Linked DNA regions of Lepisosteus oculatus. The protein of the gene in region 4 interacts with the protein of the main gene of each other region in a pairwise test. Links are inferred from orthologs where the notes say so. Each region holds a gene or a part of one and is shown on either strand. Other genes may lie near its edges.

Region 1 (7,403 bases), on a different chromosome or scaffold from region 4:
AAACTAAATAAGTTTTCCAAACAACGAAACATTGCCCACATAAATACACAGCAATTGCTTTCCAAAGCGCTGAGATGGAGTTCCGGTAGTTTCTTTTGGATTAGGGGCAGTGTGATGTATGCAATAAAAAAAATCAATTAATTTAAATACCCGCAAAATACTAAAACTGAATCAATTGTCAATGTTTATTTGTGAACATGTATATGCATACATATATTTTAAATCCCCCTGAAATGGTGTATTAATTCAACATTTTATAATACAAATGTCTTTTTTTGACAGTGGGTGTTGCATTGTGGCTGAACTGATAAGGCTTCTCCGTACATGCTTAAAAGGTAATCTTTCATTAACAGAACACTCCCGCTATCGAGCTCTTGCAGAGCGTCGGAAACGCTTATCTTCACAAGCCAGCATGCTGGAGTGAGCTCTCGCAGGAATAAGGCGAAACAAAGCGAGCCCACAGGCGCCGATTCCTGGCAGAATCCGGACTCAGAACCGTAAATAACTCCCAACTTTCATTTCTGATCACTGCGTAACACCACATGACTCAGTGCTATAGAAAAAGCCGGGATAAAATAGCCACCTTCTGTTGGAAGGAAACAAAACAAAAAAGGCATTGAAACACGGTCTAGTCAAACTCCACATTTCAACACAGTGTAAACACGGGCTTAATGGGTCCATGATTACCCCTGCTCAGACATCATTTTTTAGGTGTGTAAAAAAAGAGATTTACTGTGAGAACGGACAGTTGTACAAATCTAGCCTGTAGGTCCTTTTTTACACAACAAAGGTCAGAGCCGTTTATACCTCTTAACGTCTGACTTTACCCAGGACGGTTGATTGAATAGAATTATTCATAGGCTGCATGAGAATAAGATTTTGTTTGTTCTTGATTTTGGAAAAATGTTGATGAAACGGACCAAATTTGTTTTGTTCAACACTTGAAAGCTCTGCAAGAGGACTTTTTTCATGAATTTGTCTGGCAGATGCTTTTTTCCCAGGAATGACTCACCAATTTACACAGCTGGATATTTTTTCCGAAGCATTTTTTGTGAAGTACTTTGCTGAAGAGAACAGCCGTGTCTCAGCGGGTTTTTTAAACAGGTCTGGAGCCCCTTCAACTAGGCCCATGTAGGAAATAACAGTGTAAAATTAAACACCCACAAGGCTCTCTTGAAACCACGCCACAGTTAAAAAAAAACCTAGTTCATTTAAAAGAGGCACAAAACAAAATCTTTGTTCCGTATTTGAAATAATGCCTTTGCAGTAAACAACATGTAATATCATGCTCAGTTTATGTTTTTCAGCTTCAGCGGGGCAGCAGAAGTTGTGGGAAATCCTAAAAACAGAAGAAAGACGTTTAAAATGTGATGCTAAGGCTTAGTGAATCACTGCACAGGCTATCCGGAGCGTGTGTGCCTCCCCAGTCGAGGAATATTCTTGGGATGAGGTGTGAGGGAAGCGATCGGACTGCAGGGAGTGGGAGTGTGTGTGTGTGTTGTGGGAGGTGGGGGGGTTAGAGCACCCCGATGTGAGATCAGGCCTTTTCAGAAACCGATGACCCGTTGGATAAGACTAACTGGCCTGACTTTCATTTTCCATCATCTTGAGCGTAACTCCGATGGATCAATTAAATGCACTGGAGGCATTGTGTGGTGGGCTGCCGAGTATTCAGGCCCGAGAGGAGAGGTGACTACCAGTGCAGGTGCAGCCTCTTGGAAGTGTAGCAGGCGCAGTGAATAGCTGGAATTCAGATCAGGCCCAGTGTGGCCGTTTTTCAGGGACTCAAAATAATCCCCCCAAATCGGATTATGTAAATCACTACTCAACACAGAGGGGGATTCTATGGAAGGCTGCGTCTTTGAAAAAACACTTGAAGGGTGAAAAAAAGTAACAACTGCCTAAACTAGACATTGTTTTTTTTTCCTCCTGCAGGGCCGGGTACAGAGCACAGCGGCAGACAGCGCAGCGAAGGGCGATAATATCCTGGGGTCCTAGTGCTAATATTATGAAGAGGTGGCTTACATGCCAGCTTGTGACCCCCAACATCATATAACTTTCCCCGTTCTCTAATTTATGTGAGCCCCTCAAAAGGCTAAACAGGATTATCCCACAGAGAACAATACCTGCATTGTTCACACGTCGATCCAGGTTTGGTATTTTTACCTTTTGTGGCTGATCACTCGGTCACGTTGAAATTATTTTGGACACTTCCCCCTGTTAACTTGGCGACAACTTAGGTGGGAAGAGACACCGGCAATATGTCCAAGAAATAGAAAGAGCAATGTTTGAGTCCGAAAAAAAAAAAAAGTGACATTCAAATCCAGAGTTAATCACTCGACGCTCAATGGAAACCTCTTTGGAGAAAGGTTTAGATGACCTGTTATTATGGTCATCTGGATTAGTAACAATTTAAAAACTTTGAAAGAATGAATGAATCCATACAGAAGGGTAGATGTTATAAAAGAGGACATTCATGCTATAGAAATCGGTGACAGAAGAGCAAGTCTAATCCAACTACTAACAGAAATACATTTTTAGAGCAATTTGGACTGAGTGAAGGAACTATTACTAGATAGGTTCCCCTGAACAAATGCTGAACTGACTACTTAATCATTTAACTGGAGAGACTGTTAATAGCATTTTACAGTTTGATTTTAAGGTAAGAAGATATGGGATGAATACAAGCCGGTTATTAAGGGCTGTACTATATTTTCTTTATATTATTTTTTGCAATTTGTCAAAAGTTAACAATTTCATTAGTGCTGTGCTTTGTACCAAAGAGAATTTAACCCATTCTATCCTATATATCATGGTCATTATTTCCTTGGATTTGTTATTGAACAGAAAATAAATAACAGAATTTGTTATTTCAGAACTGACTATCAACAGCTGGCGAGTTATGCCTCTTTCTGTCTCTACGGTTTGGGGAGACAGCTACATCTGCATCTTGAAATTGCAGGAAGTTCTTATGTCCCCCAATTGAACATGATTGTTTCAGCAAATCAGACAAGATTTTTGTTTTTAAAAAGGATTACATCAAACAGAAAACAATTCAGAAGAGGTTTACATTATTCAAAGAAAGCCTTTCCTTTGCTACAATCCATATAAATGGTTTTAGGAAAAAATGTAAGTGCATGAACAGATCAACTGCTTACTAGCTGAAATTAGAAAAATAATATAATATGGTAAATCAGCGTGCTGATTATGGTAATTCATGTTTCCATCTTACTTGTGAGGCTAAGCAAAACTATCATTTTACCATTTATTTCTATATGTTCTTTTTCATTTAGTATCTTGAAATGAATATCATGTGTAGCATATTCAATTCATCAGTGCAATTAGATATCTATCTTTTGTGAAAAGTGTCCATGATTTTCAATTACAGTGCTCCTGAGCCACAATTTACATTAAATCTACAGAAATTATATTCTAAATGATTTGCCTACTACATTCCCTTATGAGTTCAGATGATTAGTTTATAAAATAGTTGGGACTCTTGTTTGGCTGTTAACCAGAATAGAGTCAGGAAAGTCACTGCATTTATCAAATTTGAGAGACCTACCAGGACTGATGGTGAAGAAGTAAGTACTGCTCCAAGATGAGTCTTGTATTCTTGAAAAAGATTAAATGAAGGAAAAACTTTATAGCAAAAAAAAGCACAATTAATATCAGACTCACAAATTCTGCAATACTGATTGAAAATTCATGTTATTTTTCACGTACTGCATCTCTGATTCATATTAAGGAAACTAAAAGTACTATATGTATATAAAATTATATAATAAAATGTTGTACTGTATAAGTTTAGTAAATTAATTGTATGCAATATAATAGTTTTATAGCACACATTTTATAATGAATAATATTGCATTACCAGTGCTTATGGAAATATCATTTTCTGTGATTTCATCAAGGTCTTAGTGAGCTCTTTCAGTTTGCAGCACTCTCTGGCAAAAGCAGATTTCCAAATCAGATCATTTGGGGATTTCATCACTTCCTTGTAGATTATATCACAGATCAGTTAAAAATATTGAGGCATCACCGCCTTGATGTTTTCTTTGGGGATGTCCAAAAGCTCCAAATGAAAGCACGAATCTGGCTTTTATTTCCTACGTTTGTTTTTTTCTCAGATTTCGAGTATTCCATTCCCATTACTGACAGCTGCTATTGTTCGCTCCATGTTCCCGCTTTAAGTGGTATTTTAGGGATAATCGTGAGGAATCGTGCCGGTGAGTAAGTCCGGAACTGGAAAATAGCAGAGAAAGAAGCAGCAGGTGAAACAGTTACAGTGGAGAGCTGTAAAGTAATCACAGATATGTCAAAGGGATGTAAAGGCCACCTCGAAGGAAATGCAAGGTCTTGATTAATAATTATTATGCTGCACAGGACAACCAGGTGATGGCATATACTGAACAATGGGACGGACTTGCTATAAATTATCAGGGACAAACCCCAACGCCCCCCCACAGACACACACACCCGCCTACAGTTAGCGTCTCAGAGCGCTTGAGTGCGATCAGAGAGCAAGAGGATCTGTGTCTAATAGGAGCTGCAGAGCTGCTGAGTGCACACTGCCTAATGACTCAAGGAATTACCCTGTGCAAAGAAAGAAGTTCTGCTCATCCTCCAGCACTTGCAGGTGAGAGATTGGTGTTTTTCTGGCATCTAGTAAAGTATGTGTATTGTGTACTGAGGTGTCTGGTTTTGCTGGGGTTTTTTTTTTGTATTTGATAGGCAAAATAAATACATTCTAAAAGGGAATTATGTGATTTAGATATATGCAGTTGTGTGCTCATTGAATTTTTAAACATGTTTAAGTTGATCTAATTAACGTCACATTAGTAAATGTGGCTAAAATCAATTTTATAAATGACATGGTGGTTATCACAGGGTTGTTCAGGTTCGACACTATTGCAGAAGATACGTATAGGTGGTAAAGACATTGCCCTGTTAACTGCAATCATTATTAAATTACAACTTTATGTTTGAGCAAAGAGATATTATTCTTCATTAACTATTAGTAGTTAGATAGCTTTTTTTAATAATGGTCTTAATGTTCAAAGCTTTGGCAAGACAAGTTCATGTAGTGCATACCATTAAAGCATTATTATATCTAGATAATTCTAATAAATATTGTAGTAATTCTAGTAAATATTTAATCAGTTTAATTTTAGTATATGAATCTTATTTTGTCATATGAATTTTCCAGTCAAAATAGGATTCTTTGTAGATTTCCCTAAACATTGTAGGCAAAAAAAGATTGTCTCTTCTACTGCAATACTGGAATGCACACTTCTTATATGAAGTTATTTTTTAATAGGTAAGATTTTCCTTCCAATGTTCTTTTCGTTGTTGCTTAATTTCTTTGTATTGACTCTCCAGATCTATATCTGTTGCATTCACATTTCACTTCTAGAGACCTGCAGAATGCATGCAGACCTGAGATGTTAAACTGAGGACATAGTGACTCAGTCATTTAAAAGCCATTGCACAGTAAATAAGAATAGGAATATAAAACCTAGCACCCTGGTCAGCAGAGACCTTTGGTGGGCAGTGGCTCAAAAGGGGCACTTTCCAGGGCAGTATTTGTTCCATTAGAGTATCCTGGACCCGAATCAGTTTCTGTGTTTTTTCATTTTACAGGAAGTAAAATTGTGACTTCAGAGGCATTGTAATATTCACAACGTTGGCAAAAAAAATGGTTGTCCATAATTGCTGATTATGTTTTATTAACAGACAAGATATTACACCCTCTCTACTGAGCATATACTTTATTTTCCTGATATAACACATCTTAACAAGAGGACAAAGCAAATAAAAATATGACCATCTAATTACATGCAACACCAAATGCAATCTCTTTCTATCTTAAGAGGAAGAACTCACATGAGCGCACATCAAATCAAAGATTTTTTTTCCCCAAAAAGTGTCTATTGCGGGATAAATATTCAGGAAGCCGCTAGAAATTATATCCAAAAATGATCATGAAATTATTACTCATATACCCTGTATATTGTTTGTAAATAGGGTACTGGCAGCTTTGATATTCATCAAAACTTAAGTCGTACAACATTTACCGATGTAATTATTCTTGTGAGGCAAGACTCCTCTGTTATTGAGGCGTACGTAGAATGTACCCTAAGGAACTGGCCTTTTTGATAACCATTTACCTGTTCGTCTGCCGCTAGTTGGGACCCAGTTATGAAGCGATGTACTCCCTTTAGCTGCCTCCCAAAATTCTTTTTTTTCTTCGTCTTTTTTCTGAAGGCATGCTCTCCTGTTTCTGTGACTGAACCACATATATACTGTACAACAAGGAATATGCATGTTAGCTGTTTATATCAAATACCAAAAGATTGGCTTGTCTACTAAGTTAACGAAATGTTCTTAAGGAATTCTCAGTCTAGCTAAATAGCCATGCAGACAATAACGTGGCGAGTTCGTCGTTTTGCAAACTTAGAATAGGTGAATATACAGTAGTATTTCCTAAACACAAAGTGCTCAATACGACACCCTTGGTGTGTTACTTTTGTACAGTCCTTCTGAAAAATCTGTGTATCTTCTCACCGTTCAAAAATGTTTAACATGAACCACACAGGTGCAGTAGCCTACGTTGCTTTTCGCTGCTTTTTTACAACGAACAGGAGGCAGGCGCTTGTGCTCGGATGAGATCAATTGGGTGCAACATTTCTTTTCCCCTATCGGGAGATCCGTACTAAATACAGAAGCAGAATCGTCAAGAGGCGAAAAAAAAAATTAAATTGGTTGGACTTTTTTTCCTACAAGCAAAAAAAATAGCACTTGGGCCAATGAGGGCAAAGGGGAATCTGTCCTGCCTAAGTTGTTCTCTCAATTTAATTAGTGAAGCAATTTCTCACTTCTCCAGCTGATACCCTGTGCGGTGGTAATGCATAATGGCTGCTGCACAGAGGTTTTCTCATAAGAAAGGTTATAAACAAGAAGAGAACATTGGGCACATCTAGCCACTTGGGTAGTTAGTAAGCGCATTGATCTCATCTAGCCATTTCTTGAAAATAGCTAGGACTTCACAATATAGCTGGGCAGCTTGTTCCAGACTCTCACAAACCCTTCTAAACTGTCCTGTATTTGGGAAGCTTTTGGATTGTTATTGTTAGTATCGTGATGATGACAAAGCTTTTTTGAAAGTCTCCTGAAATCCTGTGTCTGTGTAGTTCATCTCTTACTTGGAAAGTAAAAACATTGGAGAAAATAACGTTTCGGAATAAATATTTTGCTGCTTCTCCTTCCTGCTTGTCAGCGTGGAATTAAATTATGCTTGTTCCTTTGCAACTCACTTCCTGATATATGTTACTCAGTGCTGGTTTCGATTGCATGTCCTAGTTTCATTACTAAATGAACGTGTTTTTTCCGTGAACTCG
Region 2 (7,073 bases), on a different chromosome or scaffold from region 4:
TCCATCTTTATGCTTGGACAACATTCCTACAGTTCCCTACAGCGGCCCAACCACAAAGAGCCCATCAAATTAACAAACAAGCGTTAGCCAGACCTGAACCATCCAAGGCTGAAACAAGGATAAGTTTAAGAAGCAGCTTTACTTTGTAGACCTGTACCCCCAACAAATCCCTAACATGCGTCTGGACATGTACAACGTGACATCTGAAGAACATCTCTGCTCTGCGACATCAGCCAGTAACCACACACTGTGGTAAACCTAAAAAAAGAAAACGCAATTTAATACTACACAGAATGATTACAGTTTTACGCCTTTGGTAGGATCTTTGTGCTGCACAGATTTGTCCCAACAGCATGGCAATGAGATTTCAACATCTGCATCACAGAAAATGGACAAGAAAAAAAAACCACAGTGGACCTCCTCCTCTATTATGGCTTGGATAAAGGATCTAATCCAAGAGAACCCAAGCTGATTTTACAAAGGTTGCTTAAAGAATTTGGGCAATCACAAAACTTTGACAACCTTAAATACAAATGACATTTTCAAGAGATCCACATCAGAGGTTGCCCGGGTTCCAAAAAGCCTTTTATAGAAGGCCAAATGTATTTCCTAACCACATTCACTTGGTCATTTTCTTGATGAAAGCCAATTAATAGAAAACCACCAACTTAAACAACTGAATCATAAGAGTGATCTAAAGGCTCACTAAAGATTCAGCGTAGCTTTTGAAAATTTGTAAAACATCAAAATCGCCAACCTGACTTCCAATAACCCAGTCGATCGACAAAAAGCCTGCACCTTCAAGAGAGCAGACTGTGATGCTGACCCCTGCCGATAGTCGACGCACACTTAAGTGTGATTTCCCATTATGGAATACCTGCTATAAAACTTAAGGTAAACAGTGAATTTCAATATAGAATTTAGGCCTCACAATTTGCTTTCCAACTACAGAAAGTTGAAAGCTAACATCTCATCTCCGAAACACTCCATTTCCATGCGAGAAAACCAAGGACGTCTCTTAAATGGAATTCTCAACTGCCTTCAACTTGTTGAAACAAGATGGTTCCAACTCATAGCAATATCAAAGCAGTCTTCAACAACAAACCAGCGTTTTCCTTGAACCAAGTTCAAGATCTTAACCAAATCAGGTTGGGAGCACAACAAATCACTGCTGGTAAAGCTTTTAGAGCAGTCCAAAGCTTTGAACAATGTGTGCATCAGGCTCTTGGCCGCTAACCTTTTGCAGCTTTTGCAAAGCACCAGAAAGTAAGTTCTTTTGAGGCATCAGATTTTACATTTGATTTAAAAGTTTGATGCTGCATGCTTAGGTTTCGAAGAATAACCAGCATATGCAAAATCACCACTTGCAAAACTCCCTGTGCAAATCAGTCGATCCAGGAATGTCCACAAAGATCCTACTACATGCGCATAACAAAGCACGTCTAGTAAAACAAGACGCCCAACACACACAGGAATGATCCTTAATGTTCCAGGTGGGGGAAGGATACGTTTTCAAACATCACCCTCCTAAAACAATGGGTGCCCAACAACAGTCCATTACAAAACCGAAACGAGAAACGCCGGACTCCAGGAAGTTACGTGGCTGTGGTACCACCTTCACAAAGACGGCCGCGGTGTGGAGCCTTATGTTAAACTTTCTTTTGAGTGGGGGAGAAGGGGGAGTGCAGGAGATGTGACCACAACACCCGTAGCATGCCGTCCAGCGATAGCTCTTCAAGCACGGCTTTCTTTGGGGGGGGTGGGTGTAAAAAAAAGACTATCCACCCCCGTGCTCCTTACCGGTTCAATAAAAATTACCTTTCTCCTTCATGAGGTCCTTCAGCGCCTGCCACTTCACATCAAAGGGGATGTTGCTGACGAACACCCGGTATCGCTTGGAACTCCCATAGGGCTCAAAGCGACTGCCGCCGCCCCGCTTCTGCGGCCTCTCCTTCCGGCTCTCGTGGGTGGGCTTCCCGTTGATCTCGCTGCGGGGAGTCGAGAGGGAGAACTGGGGTTGGAAACAGTCGCTCGGGTGGCAGCAAACCAAACTCGCGTGGAGAACCGACAACGAAGGGACGATTGGTGGGGGACAATGTCTCTAGGGCAGACACCCCCCTCCCTTTGCCTCCTCGTGTCTGTTGCTAAGGGCAATGGGCCGACAAGGGCGATATTACTCGGGGTGAACATAAAGCCCCTGACCCCCCAAAATGGCGCTCAATTCAAGTGGAGTCCAAAGCAAACGCAGATGCGGGCTACTTCTGAATCACACTGGAAAAAAACGCCGGCTTGTTAAATATTTACGACACCCATTCGTCTTGGGCCCAGTTAAAAAAAACAGCGGCGGAGTTTGAAAGCAGATAATCGCCCACGTTGCGGCCTAGCTGCACTCTGCAGCCACCAATACAGATACCCCCCCCCCGCCGGCCTCGTTTTCTCTGCTTCTCGCGAAAAAAAGGCTAAAATTTACAGGGGGAGAAAAGCTATTTTCACTGCAGTTTCATAACGCTGTCTTCGCGGCTTTTAGGAGGGAAAAAAACTCGCCGGATACATTTCCACCGATCGGCACAACGCGAACAGCAACCTTCCGGCTAACTGCGTGACAGGGCTTTAACGTGGCTTAAGATTATAACGCAACGCGCATCACTTTCAATCACGACTGAAGATCAATCCCTCTCCTCACATTACACAGGGCTAGTCCGAGATACATAAAAATCACCACCGGCTAAGAAGAACAACAAAAACAAAAAAACAACAAGAAAGTACTTACGCCTGGGCTGGCTTTTCAGTTGGCGTTTCAGTCGACATTTTGGCGCAGTCAAGTTTTACACGTTGCTTTTCGGAAAACAAATGGGAAAACTGCACCCGGAGAAGAAAAGGGCAAATACAAGCTGTTTTTTAAATACGATGCCTTTCGATGTTGAGCTAATAAAACCCGGATTCGTAGTTTTATTTTACAGTTGCCCCCTGCTTAACCATTAGCACACACCACACTCGATCTCCTCCACTACTGAAATGGCGGCGGGCGAAGCCAGTCTATGTAGCAACGCGGAGCATGCCGGGAAAGCCTTTGTGTTTTTATTGTTCAATTTTTTTCTTCCGTTAAATATCTATTTTTTTTTAAAACAGAAATGAAATCGCAAACCAGCCGCCTCTAAAATAAATAAAACCTCGTTGTGGCGAAAGAATGGAAAAAATAATAATAATCTGCAGTGGTTTCGTCAAAACAAAACCTAAAGGACTGTTACCATAACAACGACAACTTTGCCTCTTCGCTTGCCTCAAAACAACCGCGCCTGACCCCATGTCTCAATTTCTCATCTTCTAGAACTGAAACCATCAGTTTTTCTTTTTCATTTCATGTTTCGGTAACCCCTACCTATGCTAAATAATTAAAAAGGTGTATTATGGCCTACTTTCGATACATTTTTAGCAAGTGGAATAAAGATTTATTGATCGTGCAATAAAGGTTTATTGAACTAGAGATGGTGTAAAGGTTGTGTGCAACATACATGGCTCTATCTGTCGTGGAGTGGTACGTCTCACAGCCATGAAATGCAATTTTATCTCAATAACTCTCTTGCGGTTGAACTGCTACATTAGGACCGTAGACAAATATCAGCACGTGTGTTACAGAACCCAGCCTACAAACAAGCACGAAGCACCACCTCTTTGCCCCTTTCGTGCCAACAATAAAGCACAAGAGCTTCAATTTGCCTTAAAACTTTCCAGCCGTGAAAGCGTGCTTTTCAAACACGAAGTAGCTTTGACGCAGGAAGAAAGGTTCGGTACTGACGGTTAGGGAAACTATGGAAATACAATTTACTGAGCTAAAATGAAGACAGTATTTTTCCTTGGTGCAAACTGCACGTGTTATTCTATAATCTAAAACACACATTTTGCACTCGTCGCTCCAGGCGTTGCTAGCGTCAGAGACTCTCCCGACACTCCCTATACAGATATACACTAAGGTTAGGGGTTACCATTATTTCTAAAATAAAAAAGAGGACACTCCGCCCGACGGGGAATTAGGAGGAGAGGTGGGGTCGGTGGCGCCGATAACATCTGTATCTATTATATTTATGGTTATTTGATTATTTTACATATATACGGTTATTATATCTATGTATTTGTATAGGCACGAAAAAAGGCCACCCCGTCCTCCCATAATTCCTAAGGGACGGAGATTTGAGGAGCAAATATGAAGACACGTCCGGGAAAATCCGGTGTGGTAACCCCGATAGACAGTATATCCCACGGCCCCACAGCCCGCTCGATTTTATGTCTCCCGTATCTCCTACGGAAAGTGAGGGGGCACCATCGTGTACAGTACGGGATGGGATGGGAGAGGAGGAACTCCTCCCCTTCTGCAGAGTCAGGCAAATCCCTTCTTCCTGCGGTCGGCTCTGTGACAGCCAGCCAGCCAGCCAGCGCATTGTCTCCTGCCCGAGTTCGGCTCCACTCGCACCCGGCATCGCTGCGGAGCCCACACCGCCACACCACACGCCTGCGCCGCGACGGGGGTCGGAGCAGCCCCGCGTGTCTCTTAACATGGGGAACAGAGACGACGAGTACGATTTCTTGTTCAAAGGTAGAAATCTGATTTCTTCTGTGCGATTCCGACACCCCCTCCCCTTGTGCTAACCCCCCGCCTCTCACACCGTGTGCGGCTAATGTGCGCTATGTATTGTTTGCAGGGTGTCCTGTAAAAAAACAACGGCGAGCCACTGCTTTTATTGATTAGCGACGCCTACCAAGAACGGTCTTGGGCCCTAAAAAAGAGTGTATAAAGTCCTCTGTTTGCGGCATTTGTTTAAGCAACGCATATATATATATAACGTAATTGCAAGCCCCACCAAAGAGCTGTGTCTGTATTGAATCACCCGTTCGCTTAAGAGACAGCTTATCACGTACAGTAGCGTTGAGCACCAAAGCGTAAATATTTTGTAATATTTTCATCAAGGCCTGAAAAGAGCTTTGAGACGGAGCCGTTCCTGGGTGTTTAGCGATATTGTCTATGTTTGCGGAGGAACAGCCATTAAATGTAGCGGTGATTTCCCAGATATCGGCTGTGCCACATGTTGTACGATGGCGCATTCGTTTTTTAAAATCCTTTTTTTTTGCACCGCAATGAAATATATTCTAAGGAAACCGAATTGTGATGGCAAAAAAACAGCGGTGAAGTGAGTAGGAAAATAAAAGATTTGCTAGAGACTTAAGTGACAAAAGGTGGATTTTTCTATTTGACATGGCTGATGATATCGCAGGAACCTGGCAGCAGTGCTGTCATTGCAGATGCCTGTACTGTATTATCCTGCTAGGATACCAGGATACCAACCTTGGACTTTCCAATATCTGGCATCCTCTTTCGTGGCCTTGAATTATGACATCAGTTACATTAATGCAAGAATACAGACGTTAGCATGCTTCGAAATGCAGCATTTGTATTTGATCTACTCTGCACATATTCATTAATAGAATATCACACTGTCCCGCTTTTGTTTGTCGATTGTTTGGTTAAAGGCGCAGGTCTGAAATATCACAATTCTGTTGCTATAGTCAGGCATATCGGTTCAAACGCGCTTTCGAAATTGCAGGGATCTCTAAACCCCCCCCTCGCCTCCTTCTTTGATAAACTCCCTGGAAACAGGAAAGAGGCCCAATACTGTCGTTTCAGATTTCCCATTGACCAGGTTATCAGCTTCCTGCAGCGTGATAGAACAGGGACCGTTTCCTGTCAAGAGCAATGAACAATGAGCTCTTATTCTTACTGCAAAACTGCAGTTCAAGCTTAGACCAGCTCCTCTGCAGCCGGGTTTTCAGGTTGGCGATCCTGCAGATTTTAATTTTGAAAAATACCACAATGTGCCTGAAGTACCGCTGAGGCACAGTTTCAGAGTGACACCTGACCATACAGCTGGCGTTGCTGGTCTTCGAGCAAACCCTGCTGTCGAAATGGAGGGGGTTCATTTCATATACATGTTAAAACTGGCAAACACTGACCCGTGGAAATCAAACAGGAGGTCACACGCCAGCCCCGTGTGGCACAGCATCATTTAAAACGTTGTCAGACTTCAGCGCATTTGGTTCCAGTATACTTGTTACTGAGAGCACACTGTGTGACGTGTGTCAGTAATTTCCAAACTGAACAGGACTAAACTAAACTCAGGAGCTCCTAAGCTTTATTTCACCTTCAAGTTTATGTACCCATGTACAATGAGATGCTTACTTGCCTGACGTAAAAGATGACATAACGTTGACACAGAAGGAGACACCACAAGTGACATCGCAGTCCCTGGAGACAGGAACAGGGGGAGCAGCTATCATTTTTAACCACCATTTAGATAGCAGCTGTGTGCAAAATTCAGTAGTGGCAGTATTTTGAGTTCAGCGCAAACACAGAGGGGTGTACGTGGGGGAGGTTTGAAGAGGTGGAGTCTTAGGGTTGTGGGGTAGAAGCTTTCTTTGAACCTAGGGGTCCGGGATTTGCTTGGATTCTTGTTCTCAAGGGGTTAAAACACACAGCCACTTGCTCACAGACACACATTTGCTCACCAGCACAAATGTTCTACTGTCTGTGCTGTCCTACAGATCCAGTAACACATCCGCCCCCCCAGCCCGGCACAGGGAACCTTTGTTCTTTCATTCCATGTGCAAATCTGGTACTCTTTAAGCATTTAATTGATCTCCAGGAGGCTGATCGGTTTAACTAATCGAGCCAATCGAGCAGTAGACAGGGAGCTCCTGGGAGCTGCGTGAAGCAGGGTGCACCAGGGTGGCCTCTGACCGTGTCTGTGTTGGCGGCAGTGGTGCTGATCGGCGACTCCGGCGTGGGCAAGAGCAACCTGCTGTCCCGCTTCACCCGCAACGAGTTCAACCTGGAGAGCAAGAGCACCATCGGCGTGGAGTTCGCCACCCGCAGCATCCAGGTGGACGGCAAGACGATAAAGGCCCAGATCTGGGACACTGCCGGGCAGGAGCGCTACCGGGCCATCACCTCCGCGTGAGTGTGGGGCCTGGGGGTGGGGGGAGGGGGGTCAGACAGCCACGGCTTCCTGCGGGAGCCACTTCTG
Region 3 (7,767 bases), on a different chromosome or scaffold from region 4:
GTCAGCAGGTCTTGGTTAATCCTTTCCGCCTGACCATTGGCTTCGGGGTGGTAACCAGAAGTGAGGGAGGAGGATGCCCCTAAAACCTGGAAGAAAGCCTTCCAAAACTCTAGATATGAACTGCGGACCCCTGTCTGAAACAATATCCTTCGGAATGCCATGGAAGTGGAAAACATGCTGGACAAAAAGGTCTGCCATCTCTCTTGCTGATGGGAGGGCTGGAAGAGGAACAACATGTACAGCTTAGGAGAAACAGTCGATGACCACCATGATCGTCGTTTTACCGTGGCTTTTCGGGAGATCTGTCAGGAATGTGTAAACCAGGACGTACTTCTGAACGATGTCCCTAAAAATGTCATTCATAAAGCCCTGGAATACTATAGGAGCATTAGCCAGGCCAAAGGGCATGACCGGATATTCATAATGACTAAGTGTAGTAATGAAGGCTGTCTTCCACTCATCACCATCACGGATGCGGATGAGGTTGTAGGCGCCCCGAAGGTCAAGTTTGGTGAAGACAGAGGCTCCCTGAAGAGATTCCAATGCAGAGTTAATGAGGGGAAGGAGATACCGGTTCTTGATAGTAATCTCATTCAGGCTCCTGTAATCGATACAGGGCTGCAGGGATCCATCCTTCTTCTCCACGAAAAAAAAACCTGCACAGGCCGGAGAAGTAAAAGGGCGAATGATGGATGTAAAACTCCAGGGCATCAGAGTCTTTCAGAGAAAGTGGGTAGGTTCTTCCTCTTGGAGGCAGGGTTCCAGGTAGTAAGTCAATGGCGCAATCAGAGAGACGGTATGGTGGCAAGGAGAGTGCTTTTTGCTTGCTGAAGGCAAGGTGCAGGTCGCTGTCACGGACGTCCAAAGGGACTAACCGTGGGGAGCAGGAGAGCGGAAAAAGACTCATATGCGTAGCGGCGAGACGGGAAAAAGGCCCAAGCTCATAAGTGCAAAGAGTTCAGGAATGCCGTATAGAAACCTATGCCCTCAGGGAGCGGACGTGGGGCGCCCTGGTGCTAGGCGGGTCTCAGGACATCCGAACGTCAATGCTGAGCGAGGACAGAGTGCAAGACCCGGAAATATATAGCCCAAGGGAAAGAGAGGGACAGGAAGACAGCAGACTGGAAACTAGGGACAGGACAGAGAAGGAGCGCCCTCTGGCTGCAGAGGGCGTGACAGTCGCAATATGCAGAAGAAATCCCGATGGATTCATCCTAGGTCATGTGGACAGAGGAAAGTCTGAGAGGCAACTGCAGGCAACGAGGATGACATTTGGGTCCCCAGGCCAGTAGTTCGCTGTTGGACTGGGAAAAGATGGGGTTGTGCATCTTCAACCAAGGGTATCCAAGAACCAGAGGATGGGAAGGAGAGTGGAGGAGGAGGAATTGGAATGCTCTCGGTGTGGAGGGCGCCAATGCGTAGTGTAAGGGGAATTTTTTCCCATTCAACAAGAGTGAGAGGGGATCCATCAAAGGTGAGGAGGCAGATAGGGGGCGAAACGGGGATGCAAGGAATATTAAAAGTGGTGGGAGTCCGGAGTCTAGGAAGTTTTCCTCTGTGCCTGAATCAACAAAAGCCAGAAGAGATTCTTTGAATCCATCCCTGGAAACCAGTGTGGGCAAAAAAAGGCCAGAAGAGGGAAGGATACCGACCTTGTCAGAGGGCAGGGAAGTACAGGGAGGGCAGACAGGGCATGAAGCTCGGAGATGGCCGGCTGCCACGCAATAAGGGCAACATCCCTCGGAGAGTCGTGGTGTCACTCCTCAGAAGACAGACTAGAGAAGGAGGTTGGGCGGGAGGGGGCAGAAGGGGTTTGAAGCCGGGAGCGTTGTTCTTGGAGCCTGATATTAATTTCGGCCAGATGGTAGATAAGATGCTCCAAGGAGGGAAAGTCCAGTGGAAGATATGCGAGGTGGTCCTGAAAAGCGGAAGACAAGCCCTGGCAGAACTGGTGGATAAGAGCCTCTTCATTCCAGGGCATTTGGGAGGCCAAAAGGTGGAATTCCATAGCATAATCTTGAAAAGTCCGGGAACCCTGGGTGAGAGAGACGAGACAGGAGATGGCTATATGGTGGGAGTGGAGATGACCAAAAATGGACTGCATGGCAGCAGAAAACTGGTTGGCATCAGCAGTCACGGGAAGATTCAGAGTGAGGAGGGAAGTAGCCTAGTCCAGGGCTCGACCGGAGAGGTGAGAGACCATGAAGGCAATCTCTCTGTCAGAGGGAAAATAATCCGGGCGAAGGTGGAAGGCCATCCAGCACTGGGTTAAACTCTGGAGTTTAGCTGGGTCCCCCTCAAATTTCTCCGGGATGGGAGGGGGCAAGAGGCAAGCAGCAGCAGCCAGGGGAGGAGCAGGTACGGGAGCCACCGGAGGAGGTGGGGGACAGGTGGTGTGGTCCACTAGGCATTGAACTGCAGCAGTCAGTTGTCCTAGAGCCTGGGACTGCTGTTGGAAAAAAAAGCAGCAGTGCTGTTATGGTCCGCTGGATCCATGAATAGGCTCAGTATTCTGTCAGAATGGGGCTGATCTGGTCAATGGATCCTGTGCAGAACTCCGGAGACTGAGAAAAACACTAAGCTGAATCGCTAGGCAAAAAAACTAAAACGAGGAAGCAGGAGAGGAGGTCAGAACGCGAAGTCAAAGAGGCAGCAATGATCCAAAACACAAGGCGAAGTCAAATCCAGGAATCAGGTGAGTAGGTCGGAAAACAGAAGTACAACGAGAAAGCAACAATCCAAAACACTAGGCGAAATCGAACACGAGAAGCAAGCAAGGAGATCAGGAACCGGAGAAAAGCTAGAGGAAAACGCGCACTAGGGACCTCAAGGAGAATCTGCAATAGTGAGCGGGGAAATGAGGAAAAAGGAGAACTAAAATAGGGACGGGAGAGAACGGTGATTGGTGTGTTACTTGCGGCGTGAGCGTTTGTTACAGGGTGTACGCGTGGGAATGCGGGAAGGAACAGAGACGCGAGTGGAATGCGTAACACCATTATCTGCTGGATAGAAACTTGCAGCTGATTAAATGCATGAGAATGCTGAGAAAGCACCATACCTCACCTTCTGCAGGGTCCATGTTAAGACTCAGTATACCATTACAGTGCAGAAGAAGGGCCCTAAGCAGAATCCTCTGAACTCAAAAGTACCAGCAAGAGTAAAAAAAACATAGGTCAGGAAGTCAGGCCAGGATCAAAAACCAGTAAATCCACAATAACTAAGTCAAGATCCAGATGACAAAGTCAAGGATCAGAGCCAAAAACCTAGAAATGTTGTGAAGCAGGGGACAATACAACTCTAGCTAGGTAAAACCCAATGTTAAGCAAGGAGTGGTGTGTCAGGTTGTCAAGTAGAAAGGTGGAAGAAGGTGTCTGATTAGTTACTTGGAAACTGCAATGTGAAGGAGATGATTAAGGGCGGTGAGTTCTCCGGGGGCGTGACGTAACATTGTGATTCCAATTACAATAGTAGAAGAGGGGAGAGGAGAGAGATGGAATAGAGGTGCTGTTGGTCCTCGGAGAAGCCAGCTAACTGCATCCATGGCAAAAAGAGGGAAAAACTGGCTTGGCACAGCACCAGCCCTAAATACAATACTAAACAGCCCATTCTTGGATTAAATCACTTTTAAGAACTGGGATATCTGAATATAGAATATAGTGTCTGAATCAGGCAAATTTGCATTGTTTGCATATCAGGCTGTAATGCAGATACCGTATTAGTTTTCATTAGGAGACAGTTATAGTTTTAATATTAATCCAAAAGATTGCATCAGCTTTCTGAAACTATCTTTTGGGGTCACCAGACTGGAAAAACAGAAATGCATCCTCATCCTGTTTACACTTCTCTAGTTATATCAGTATGATTACTGTGACATAAAACCAACTACAAAACTAAGTTAAGACACAAAGAAACATTTTAAAACGTTGTATTGTTCATTTGGGAACAAGTAAAGGTTAGTTCATGCTGAAAAAAGAAGAAAAAGTACTGGTTCCTTTCCGACCTACACATGCTGACGCAGTTACCTACTTGAACAATTGTTCATTTATTTCAATTAAATTCGTTATATATCATATAAAATAAAGGGTTTGAATAGAATTCCGGGTCGTGCCATTGCTTTTCCTTGTTCTGTACAACAATCAAAATCCATTATTGTTGAGCCACAACTACACAAGTAGCCTACTTCTATCCACATATAGAACAGATAATTATTGTTTTCATAAACTCAGGTCTGCTTTCATAAGATCTTTACAGCAGCATTACGGCTGGTTACTACTATCAAACATTTAAAAGTCAACACGTATTACGATAACAAAAAATCGATTTAATATCCGTAAAGGAATGCTGTGAATTAAACAATTAAACATTATAACAATGGGGGAAAAAAAACAATTACATATTTTAATTTTTACAAAACGCTCCTCGTTCTGCTTCACCACAGAGCTTAAAAGTCTTAAAAGCTTAAAGTCTTAAAAATCCTGGAGGGAGAAAATAAGCTGCAGCTGCAAAAGCAGCCGCTTGGTAAAGTTGAGACTAACAATCAGAAAGAGATAAAAAAAAACCGTTTGGCTCCAATTAAAGTTTCGTTTCTCTGTTTCCTTTCAATGCAGTGATCTCCCAGATCCTTTCGGTTTCTCGGAAACCTCGTGATACAGCTCTTATGCCAGTCGGCCTTCCTCCCTGAAACAGCTAGCGGAATAAAGCTATCCTTCTCCAGAAGGCGTTTCTAGCTAATACAGCTGTAGCATAGGGTTAAGGGTGTGGTCGGCGTACCGCAGCTAAAGGAAGAAAGATGAACGGCCTCATTTTTTCAAGCAAGGATGTTGGTAACAGGTAAAGGTTACAGATGAAAGCAGGTTTGCTTCCTGCAATAATCCAATTATTTGATCAAGCCACTCCTAAGATCCGAGAGAAATGGTTGTAACACTGTAACTCAGCAGTTTGTTCTAAGATATCAGTGTTTGATAAAGGAATGTCCTGTTTTCTTTCACGGATGCTCCCCTTTAATTTTCTCGTGCGTCGCCGATTATTTGAAGATGTCAGATGCCTTTCCTAGCACAATACTTCTCATGATATTTAAGAACACTAACACATATCTATATTGTCGTCTTTCCCCCAAAACTGTGACTTGACAAATTATTGAAAAACATTTAAAAAATGTAAGCTCAGTCTCAGAATCAATGGGCACAACTAGTGGGAGTAAACATTTCGATGTATATGTTTTGCATTATCTTTTCAATTTCAATACATTCACTTTTAAAATCCCTAACTGTAGATTGATCTGCAAACGGCTACAGAAGAGATTTTCGCTGTTTTAAAAGTAAGATTAAAGTACATCTTTTAGTCCTTTGTGATAGATTCTCATTACTTGCAGAGTTTTGTGATTGTCTTGTATCACCTTCTGAATTTATACATATTTTGATTTAATTAACTACTTCAGTTAAGATGATTTTCGAATGTCAAGCTGTGTTTTCTAGAATAAAACTGTTCTTGAAACACTGTTTCTTAAACTATTTCAGCAAAACTGTAATTTCCTGGAATGAAAAAGTACTGTATGATGCATCATTTGCAAATAAGTAAAGATATTTAACAGGCAAAAGTAACTAAATGTCAGCAAAGAAACATACTGGATCCTTTTTCAGTCTGAAATTTCTTTAGTTCTGAACTAGATGTGTTTTGTACACTATAAGATAACTCTTTACAGGTTTTTGTAATCCTGAACCCAGGAGTCCACTTGGGGGCTTAATCTAAGACCTATAGTGAAACAAAATCCTGAAGGTACAAGTGGAAATTGAGGGAATGTACATTTAAGACAGTGAAAACTGGTGTCTGTTCAATATGTGTTAAAATTTTCTGGAGCAGGCTAGCCAGTTATATAATTGAAGCAAATCTTCTGTGATTCTTTGAAAAACGTCTGGACGAGATCTGCAGATCACATAGCAAGACAATACAATTAATAATAATAATAATAATAATAATAATAATAATAATAATAATAATAATAGCTAACACTTATATAGCGCTTTTCTGGATACTCCACTCAAAGCGCTTTACAGGTAATGGGGACTCCCCTCCACCACCACCAATGTGCAGCATCCACCTGGATGAAGGTGAGCAGAATGGCCTCCTCTGGTTTGTAACCTTTTTATGTACTTATGTTTATGCTTAATCTTATGGTACAATGAAATCTTTTACCAAATTCCAAATTCCAAATTATTTGATATATTTTTAATACAACAATATCATTTACAATTAGGATTTTAATTTTTGTAAATTGTCAAAGAAAAATAATTTGCTAAATTACACCGTAAGTATGCACATTTGTCTAGGTTTCTGCGTCTCACAAAATCTCATGGGAAAGTAAACTTTCTATTTCTCCTACAGGCTGGGGAAATTACGAGGGAGGGTTGACTAATGTTTAGAACAGCTCCTACTCCCTGAGCCTTTAAAAAAAAGTGGGAAAGACAATTTCCTCTTTACGTTGGTTGGCTTTCGAAGAGGAATTGGGTGTTAGTGAGCAAACTCTTATTTGTGATTGGCTGAGAGGCATGCCAATTGTTTGTTTCTGGTCAGCTGGCAAGATGACATCCAGTTAATAAGAACGTCAGAGTTAGTTTCGTTTTTCGAGGTGTTTTGAGTGAGAGAAATCATTTTTCTGAAGTCTACAAGGTTGAGACCAGTGAATGTCCTTTCTTCTGTTCGACGTTTTGTTAAGTGTTTATTTTAAACGGATCAAATATTAAAGGTTAGTAAACAGTTTGATTTAAATACGAAGTTTTATTTACAGGAAGTCGGGAGAGGCTCTGTAGCTGTAGTGATGGACCCTTTACATACAGTACGGTTGCTTTGGAAATTACTGTTGGCGTCGTCATTGCTATACTGTTTTTGATGAGGTTATATATACTGTATATATTTTTACCTTAAGTAGTTATTAACACAACTTCAGGAGTGACAATAGGAGTGTTTTATTCTATAATAATTTTTTTATATGGTATACTGTAGAGATCATACAGTACTGTACACTGGTAATTAATAAAGTTATCTAAAAACACACTCCATGATATACCATAGTTTATCACAGCACAGTCCTATTTAATTATACTAGTAGTGGTTAATATAAAGAATGATATGTTGTAATTATATCGTATTTTCTTTTATATATTTTTGTCTCAATCTTTCTGAATCTTGAAATGATATTCATAAATATTTCTGTTCTCTATTTTGATAAAAAGTTAAGTAAATGTACTTCTTGCAATTTTCGAACTGTATTAATGTATTTTGCTGATGATTTGATCAGGTCTCAAAAATGTTTATACTGCCCTTACATAAACGGCAAGGACTTCTGAAAATGAGAAGTCCCAGATTGCCCTGCAGTTATATTTGAAGTTACTGTATTTGCTAGAGCCTAAATTTCCAGTTGGCCTTTCCGCAATTGGAATTATAGAATAGACCCACCTAGGCTATAGTACTGAGATATCAGACTCATTTTATGGAAGGCCTTGTGTCACAAATTTGATATTTAATGGTGAATCCTACTAGATGGGAGCTAAGGTTTTAGACCCCTAATCTACTGTATTTGTGAAAGTGAAAACTGGCTTTATTTTATTTCAGTGCCCATCACAAGTATACCATTAAATAACATGGGCAGTCATTTGTTAAGCAACAATTTTAAAAGCATGTGTGAAGAACCTTTTATTCACAAGTTTTTACTTGTACTGTCCTAATTGCGCAAACATTTACTAGTCTAAAGTTTTAAAGTTGATTTTCTCA
Region 4 (7,652 bases):
CCGGGATTTGGATGCTGCTCATTCATGGGAACCCCCAGTCAAACTTGTGATGAAGAGCCTTGAGGTTTTGCGGTGTTTTGCCCACCAGTGGCCAGCCTGTCCTATCAGGTTGGGCCATCTGGACAGAGTCGTCCTATCAGAGCTCAGCAGGATGGCGATGCGCAACAGGCAGGAAGTCGGAACAGCAAACAGCAGTGCCCCCTGCTAGTTCGGTCTTCGCTCACTTCCTGTTTATCCTGGTTCATCCAGTCAATTCCCTGGAAAGTGGATAGAAATAATGTCCTGGATCTGTCCTCTGCAGCTGAGCATTTCAGCGTCTCCCTGCTTCTTAATCCTTTCCCACATCTAGGTTAAACTCCAAGTAGCTAGAAGCGGGAAGGCTAAGGAATAACATATATATATATAATCTCATAGTTTCAAAATCCTGTTATAGAACTGATTCAACAATTAGAAAAAAATGTTGGGGTGGGTCCAGTTGTATGTCTGACATGGGCAGGGACTGGAACATTGTTGATATGTACCTGACTCTTACAGTTTGTTTTGAATAATTTTAATGTAACACAACCACAGCTTTTAGTATTTCTGTGGCAATAGAAGAACTAGTAGGGATATTGATATCATGTTCAGAATCCTCTTTACGTATGTCAGTAGGCCACTGTCTCTTTTTGCCTATTAACTGAAGGTGTTACCCTAAAAGGAACATTAATTCCTAGTTCAGAAATACCGAACAACTGAAAAGCATCGCTGACTCGGGTGTTGTAGACGAAATCTGAAATCAAGTCAATATACTTGCTCTCAGTGCCAAAAGAAAGGGGAAGGAAGGACAACAAGTGTTGAATCATTTACTTTGAGTCAGGTACTGTAGTTCTGTTTCCAGGGTGATACAGACAAGCTGTGTCAGCAACAACCGTTGTGGACAGATTTGTTTGGTCAATTCTGCAATAGGCCTTTCGGCTCTCCATTACCATGCAATCTCAGCTGTGTCTTCTAACGGAATTGCTCAATCTGTTTTTAATTCACCCATATTTTTATTCATTTTCTGTTTACATATTATGCATCAGGTCAATTATCGGGATAATTGTAAGGGGGGAAAGCTTGTGGAATATAATTATACAATGATACCTGTTACAGACATATACACAGATTTGTCCTGCTGGAATTGTACACGTTGTTTAAAGTTTGGCTCCAGCATGGAACCGACATGGTAATTGAGATTGTTCGGAAATCATAACTAAAGGCATCTGTAGGTAATAGTAAACTCTTTCATTCCTGTACTGACAGGGTTTATAACTGGTCAATCACAAAAATGGTCAAGAAAATCTCCTTTGTGTTGAAAACGGACACTTCCGTTACTCACTTACTCAAAATTACTCAAAAGTCTTGTTGGCAAGTAACACACAATGCACACGGAAACAACTATAAAAGGGTAGGAACTGCTCGATTAAAAATCTTTTAAAATTGTTAACAAGTCACAGGTGTTCAATGAGTGAGAGCATATACAATAGGTTAAGGCATTTTGAAACAATAGCATTTGCTCTCTAAGTTGAAGTAATTAATGAAGAATATTGTTTTCTCACTCATTTATTATTACTGCCATTTTTATACAGACTCTGTAGAGACTGACAAACACCAGGTCTCCATTTGGGCTAAAACTTGGACACAGAATTGGCATTATTCACATGTACTGAGCCTAAGAAGAAATGTATTACATAACAATGCAAAGAATGAGGGAAATGACAGTGGTCTTTTTTGTGGCAGGTGCTTTGACAGTTTCATTCATTATTCTGATCAACATTTGTCATCTGCAGGGTTGATCACAACTGATCACCAGGGGGTTTGCTGTGGAAGTCACAGGCTAGTAGTGTGTGTGGCCAAGTCTGGAAGCTGTAGGTCTGCCATGCATTCTTTACACCAGGTTGTAGATATTGTTTTGTGGGTTTCTGACCTATTCTCCTCATGGAGCTTGCTCAAGCATGTGTCTGTTTGCTGGCTTCTGAGTCCTAGATACTGCATATCATACCAGCTGGGAAGTCTGGGAAGTCTGGCATTATTGTAACATTCTCGTCACACAACAAAGCTATTGATTACACAAGCAGCATGAGGCCGTGCACGATCCTGCTGGAATGTTATCACTTCAAGATGAGCTTGCAGGAAGAGCAGCAAGAGAAGTCTGGGCAGCTTAGAAATGGCTGAAACCCAGAAGGCAAGTGGCAGTGCTCAGCTTCAGCCCATATGCCAACTTACCAACGGCACAAAGGCATTGTTCTTTTCAATACTGGTTCCTTTCTGTCTTCTTATTTCTTAACTTACTTCATGTCCTTCATGTCCAATAGGTTAGGTTGTCTTATCAGCTCCCTCAACCCCGAGGTTATTATCTAACAGTCATCTGAGTCCGTCACAAGTGATCAGCTAATCACGATGACACCAAAAACATATAAAATATACCCCAAATCTGTACCTCATTTTTATTTAAAAAAACACATGCATCGAGTAATATTTTTCTTTTATAGTTTAGTATTTATAGTCAATCATGTTCATCATATTTTTCGATAATAAAATAAATAGAAACATATACAAGCAAATAAGTTTGAGCAAATACTGTACGCAGACAAACTGTTGTTGATATTACCACCACGCAGACCAGTTCCATAAGCAGAGATTTGTAACTTGCTTTTGTGAGGGACTGATAAAGGAACTCCTGTAAATAATAACTACACTAAATCTCTAGCTCACTGTGACAGATGGAGGAAATGAAATCTCCCTAGCAGAAGAAAAAGGGCAAGTGACCAAAAGTGACACTGACATCCTCCTCTCATTCACTCAGATGTAAATCATAGTAGCACCAGTCTGTGCAAAATGAATTTGAGTGATTGGCACCAGGTCATGTTTTTATGTGCTAGTTAGCCAAATAAAAAAAACCAGCAGTGTAACTCCAAGTGATGTCTTTCCAGCATCCAAATCTTTTAGGGAGCCCTGGTCCCTGCTCAGTATATCTCCTTCACAGAGCTCTGGGAGTTACAGTATCTCAGAGCCCAGTGTCTCTGCAGGCCCCTGGCCTCCTTAGAATCAGGCAGCAGAGCAGCCCTGGCAGCAGATAAGAGGAACGCTTTTAACAGCTGCAGCAGGGTGGGGTTCAGAATAACAAGTGCAGAGGGGGTTAACCCATTGTTCGTGTGCATTCTCCTGAGGGGAGAGTTCAAGCACACGCAGAGCCTCGTCTGCCTGCTTTAGCTAAATTTAGTTGACCATCTGGCCACCCTGTTTGTCCCATGGGTGAGTCTACCCTCAGAGAGCTGACGTTGAAATGCCTAGTTGGATGGATGGGGCCAGGAGAAACAGTGTTTTGTTGTGCAAAACGCTCTCTACAGTATTTTAAATACGGCCTCAACATCCTTTCTGTTAACTAGGGTATTAAACCTTAAAAAATGTTAAATTCACTTGTGCAACCTCCCCTTTACTATCAGAGCTATTACTAAATACTCATGAGGGAATTCTCGCAACGTAAAGGCAGTGAAAACATAGAAAAATATTGTTCCCAATATGTCTTTTCTTTTAAAACTATTAGACAACATAAAAGTTGTGGCCTAATAGTTGTTGAACTCTTCCTGAATCATGACTGGGGTGCAGCTGAGAAGTGATTTTTCTTTTTTTTTTAAATACGCCTTATTGCCTCCATAAGGGGAGAAGCATTTTAAACAATAATTGAATTGAACACCTGATGAAAATACGGGATTCAGATGCAGCCTCGTGTAAAACTGCAATTGCACACAGATTTTTAAGCCACCTCAAACAGCAAAAACACTAGTCCTTGTATTGCAGAATATCACCTTATTAGCTCTGAATATTGGCTCTGAAAGAGCTTAATTTCAGCACCCTCCTTCTGTGCTGTTCCCCATTTGAAAGCCCCCACGGTTATTTTGCAATTCTTTACTTTTAATGGGTTTAATTGCTGCCTTCGTCTACTCAGAACTCAGCGAGTCCCTTCTATGAACTTAACTACTTCTGCTCAGGAAGCACCCAGCAGGTGAACTTCGTTACATCTGAGAATGTACAGATTTTGTTAGAAAGGTTTACTTTTCATTTTCAAGAAGAATAAGGCAATGGAACAAGTGATTTTAAGATTACGAGCATCGCCTTTCCATTTCAATACAAGCCAACCATCCAGTGATAATCGGCTTCTTCAGTGAGAATCTCTGTATCTAGGTATCAGGGGAAAGGAGAATGAAAAATATTTTGTCCCACACTCTCTGACACACACAGACATATATGTGGTTTTTTTTTGTACATTGTGAAATAGACAATTAAAGAGTTTGCAGGTCTTGAGAGACAGAAAAATGTTATAATAAGTAGATGCTTATTATGTAGATGAAATAAGTGCTCGCGAGGAGGGGGTATCACCGTTTAGTGATGCGGTGCCTTTCACGACTTTACCCTCTTGGTAAAATGTCATTTTACGCCCCTTTAAGCCAAACCGTCTAGCTAAAAACAAGCTCTTTCCGCAGTGAAATAAAAAACCCTCACGACTCCGCAGACTCTCAACTGGGCAGCCCCGGGCTGTTTGCATTACGCTTTTTCACATCCCCAAATGAGCTGCCCCTGTCTCTTTAAAACACGTTTCCTTCGATTGTGAAGGAGTCGTGAGCAGGAAAGAGGAAACGAAACCAGAAACCAAGGGGCAGAGCTATGTAAAAATACCTACGGTACAGAGAGCTGCCGTACAAAAGCCGTCCCCGCGACTAACCGCAGATTAAGGGAGACGGTAAGGGATGACAGAGGGAATAAGAAATATTTTTAAGCAGCCATTGATATTCACTGCTATCTTCACTGTTAATGCTGAAGAATACTTGAGCCGTAAGCACAAGGACAACAGTATAGCAAATGGGATGTTATGATCTCCAGGAAATAATAATAATAATAATTACTAATATCGAAAATTGTAAATTATGTTTAAGGATCCCGTCTGCGGTCTTACATGTATGTTTTAATATATAAATTGTAGGAAGGAACTGTACAGCTCAAGTAAACGCGATTTCCACGGTCTTTGCCTTTGGTGCTGTTTTTTTTTTTTTAGAAAATAGAATAAGATGAACAGGTGCAGTTCTTGCCGAAAAATCATATTGTCATAAGAAATATGCGAGAGGAGTCGGAAGTGGGGATATAAAGCATACGTGCCGCCGGATTAAGGAGCAGGAGCCTCTATAAAAGCCGAAGTTCCCGACGCAGTAGTAAAAGGTGTTTGATGCCATCGTCATTGCCCGCAAGGAACATCTTGGAATGTCATCTGCTATTGAAAGGAAAAGCTTGGAGGCGTCAGAGTAAGTGCAATGGTGATGCCTTTGAAACTAATGACTTGCAGTGTTTCTTTTCACGCATGTGCACTTTTTGTTTTTAAGGAAAGAATTTACCCCAAAACAACATCCAAACTATCTGTCACTTTCATACCTGTGACCACCAGGGTTTTAGAGCTTTTTTTTCCCATTAATCCGAAATAATTTAAGACTGAACTTTATATATCTAACAAAGACAGAGGCCATGTTGAGTAAAATCTCTTGTGATCTTAAACATGCAACTCTAGATCTAAAAAGTAATTAGAATTTAGAAGCAATGTCACTTAAGATTAGTTTCACTTGTGGGATTGAGTCAGAGGCAAATAAAGCTTGATGTTTAAGTCTTCTTGGCAGTAATGAAATGACTGTGGCGATAGTTTCTTTTACAGTAGGCCTTGCATTCTGTGAACTGTTTGCTTTCGTAAGCCGAGTTTCAGAACCAGGCGCCAGATGTAATTAAACTATCACATTTTCAACAGGTATATGAATTGTAAATAGCCTTTTAAGAAAGGGGCAATGCAAAACAGCATAATGACGTAGATTAAAATGCACTGACAATTAGTTTGTGTAAAGAAATTACAAGAGCAGTGTTTCGATAATGTATACTAGGTGGTTTAAAAAAAAGACTATTGAGGTTTTCTGTTCTATTTGAGATGTAGATTTTCACTAGCTCTCTTATCACTACTGCGATCCCAGTGTCAGAAGACATTAATGTAATAATCACTACTAGCACTAGCTCATTCTTTAGTTAAGTACTCAGAATAGGATAATGCATATTAAGTGACAATACTCATTCAATCCTTACTAACAAAAGATGTGTAGAACCCATGCCCTTTGAGTTGATAGACAGCAATCTGTAAGTGTGCAAATTCAGGTAGTAAAGTTTGGGTTACTCCACATTTTTATGCATTAATTGTATTTTGTTTTGACTATATGATAACTTTTGATAAGTTTCTTTTAATAGATTCTAGGTAACACACCAATACAGAGATGTGCTGTACTGGGGAAATCTAAACCATGGAAGGCCAAATATATACCTCAGATAAAAAAGAATGTTACTTTTGCACTTTTATTGTATATCGTATACACAATACATTAGGTATATATTAAGTAAATAACTGTAGCTATTCTTTCTATTATTTAAACAAAGAAATGTCATAACCTAATAAATATACAGTACATCCTTGCTGCTTTTAAACAGATGATGCAGGAGCAAAATATATTTTAAGAAAAATGTGTGTGAAATGAGGGTCAATTGTATTCCCCACTCACCTCTTATTTTTACACAAAACCTTGTTTTTCCTTCTCCCTGTGCCCTGTGACAGATATATGGGCATACACTGCGCATATAGTGTTTTTTTATTTCGTGGGAAGCTGCTCCCTCTGTTGGGGAATGATGGTAATGCATAATCTACAGCAAATGTCACCAGAAAGGTCACCAGTGAGAGAGATGTGAGGAAATTATACTATTATAGAGTGCCTAGTAAAAATCAGTGTGAATATGATGAACACATGCTAGCTCCACAAAGGCAGGCAAGGTATTGAAGTCAGGATCATGGCTGCATCATCTGATTGGATCTGTAAAGTTCACAACAATGCCTGTATGCCATCATCTAACCTCAAATCGGCCTGCTTGCCAGACCTCTGGGTGACGACATTTTTTGACATGAAGAAAACTTCACAACATTTCAACATTCTGATACTCATAATGTTTAAAAATGCTTAGTTTCTAAAAGTCACTTCTTCAAGCGCAGTCAAAATTGTTTCAGTGTATATGTAGACTGTATATGTAGTTGCTAGCAGCCAAATCCTAGCAGCCAGCCTAGCGTACCTGATTTTCAGATTTCTGTTTCCAGGATTATTTTACAAAGAGTACTGATTACATGTACAAATTAAAGATTATTTTTTGAAACTATAGCACAATTACAATACCCCTTACACCCGTACTCATTTCAATAGTAGTGTGTTTTAGCGGCTGTGCAGATTCTTTGTCTGAAGATCCACCTTTTTGTCATTATATTTGCACATTTCTTTTGGCTTCTCAGCTAGCTTCCTCTGTTTGACAGCTAATTGAAAAAAAGTGTCCAAACTGGGAAGCAAACACAACCAAAACCTCCAGACGGGGGCACAAGAAACCACCTAGATGAATTGTTACCCAGGTGGTTTCTAAAAGGTTTTTCACCGCAGTGCAGTTGCTGTGTCTGTTTGCCCCCTGTTCTTGGCGATGTGTGTGGCAATCGGTTGCTGGCTCTCTTGCTCACGAACGGACCCTGCTCCCTCCTCAGAGAGCCAGTGGATGAGGTCCTGCAGATGCCCCCCTCCCTC

The links. The genes of interacting proteins can lie anywhere in the genome.
Region 1: the proteins of lmo2 (region 4) and tal2 interact in a two-hybrid assay, tested with the Homo sapiens proteins (2 studies listed by BioGRID and IntAct). The link is inferred for Lepisosteus oculatus from reciprocal best matches to the Homo sapiens genes LMO2 and TAL2.
Region 2: the proteins of lmo2 (region 4) and hnrnpm interact in binary tests that used the Homo sapiens proteins (3 or more experiments, as listed by UniProt). The link is inferred for Lepisosteus oculatus from reciprocal best matches to the Homo sapiens genes LMO2 and HNRNPM.
Region 3: the proteins of lmo2 (region 4) and signal transducer and activator of transcription 1-alpha/beta interact in a two-hybrid assay, tested with the Homo sapiens proteins (2 studies listed by BioGRID and IntAct). The two-hybrid records come from large-scale screens. The link is inferred for Lepisosteus oculatus from reciprocal best matches to the Homo sapiens genes LMO2 and STAT1.

The regions. Positions count from the first base shown.
Region 1 is NC_090698.1:64,085,948-64,093,350, reverse strand, and holds the start of tal2 (T-cell acute lymphocytic leukemia protein 2), read left to right. Parts: upstream 1-4,376; 5' UTR 4,377-4,642; intron 4,643-7,403.
Region 2 is NC_090724.1:6,497,957-6,505,029, forward strand, and holds the start of hnrnpm (heterogeneous nuclear ribonucleoprotein M), read right to left. Parts: upstream 3,028-7,073; 5' UTR 2,809-3,027; coding exon 2,771-2,808; intron 1,989-2,770; coding exon 1,819-1,988; intron 1-1,818. Other genes in the region: ras-related protein Rab-11B-like, read left to right, coding at 4,552-4,591, 6,808-7,003. UniProt on the Homo sapiens protein: Pre-mRNA binding protein in vivo, binds avidly to poly(G) and poly(U) RNA homopolymers in vitro. Involved in splicing.
Region 3 is NC_090707.1:26,783,749-26,791,515, reverse strand, and holds the start of signal transducer and activator of transcription 1-alpha/beta, read left to right. Parts: upstream 1-4,740; 5' UTR 4,741-4,789; coding exon 4,790-4,830; intron 4,831-6,565; exon of another isoform or gene 6,566-6,742; intron 6,743-7,767. UniProt on the Homo sapiens protein: Signal transducer and transcription activator that mediates cellular responses to interferons (IFNs), cytokine KITLG/SCF and other cytokines and other growth factors.
Region 4 is NC_090716.1:11,136,356-11,144,007, forward strand, and holds the start of lmo2 (rhombotin-2), read left to right. Parts: upstream 1-4,614; 5' UTR 4,615-4,759; exon of another isoform or gene 4,760-5,071; 5' UTR 5,072-5,274; coding exon 5,275-5,315; intron 5,316-7,612; coding exon 7,613-7,652. UniProt on the Homo sapiens protein: Acts with TAL1/SCL to regulate red blood cell development. Also acts with LDB1 to maintain erythroid precursors in an immature state.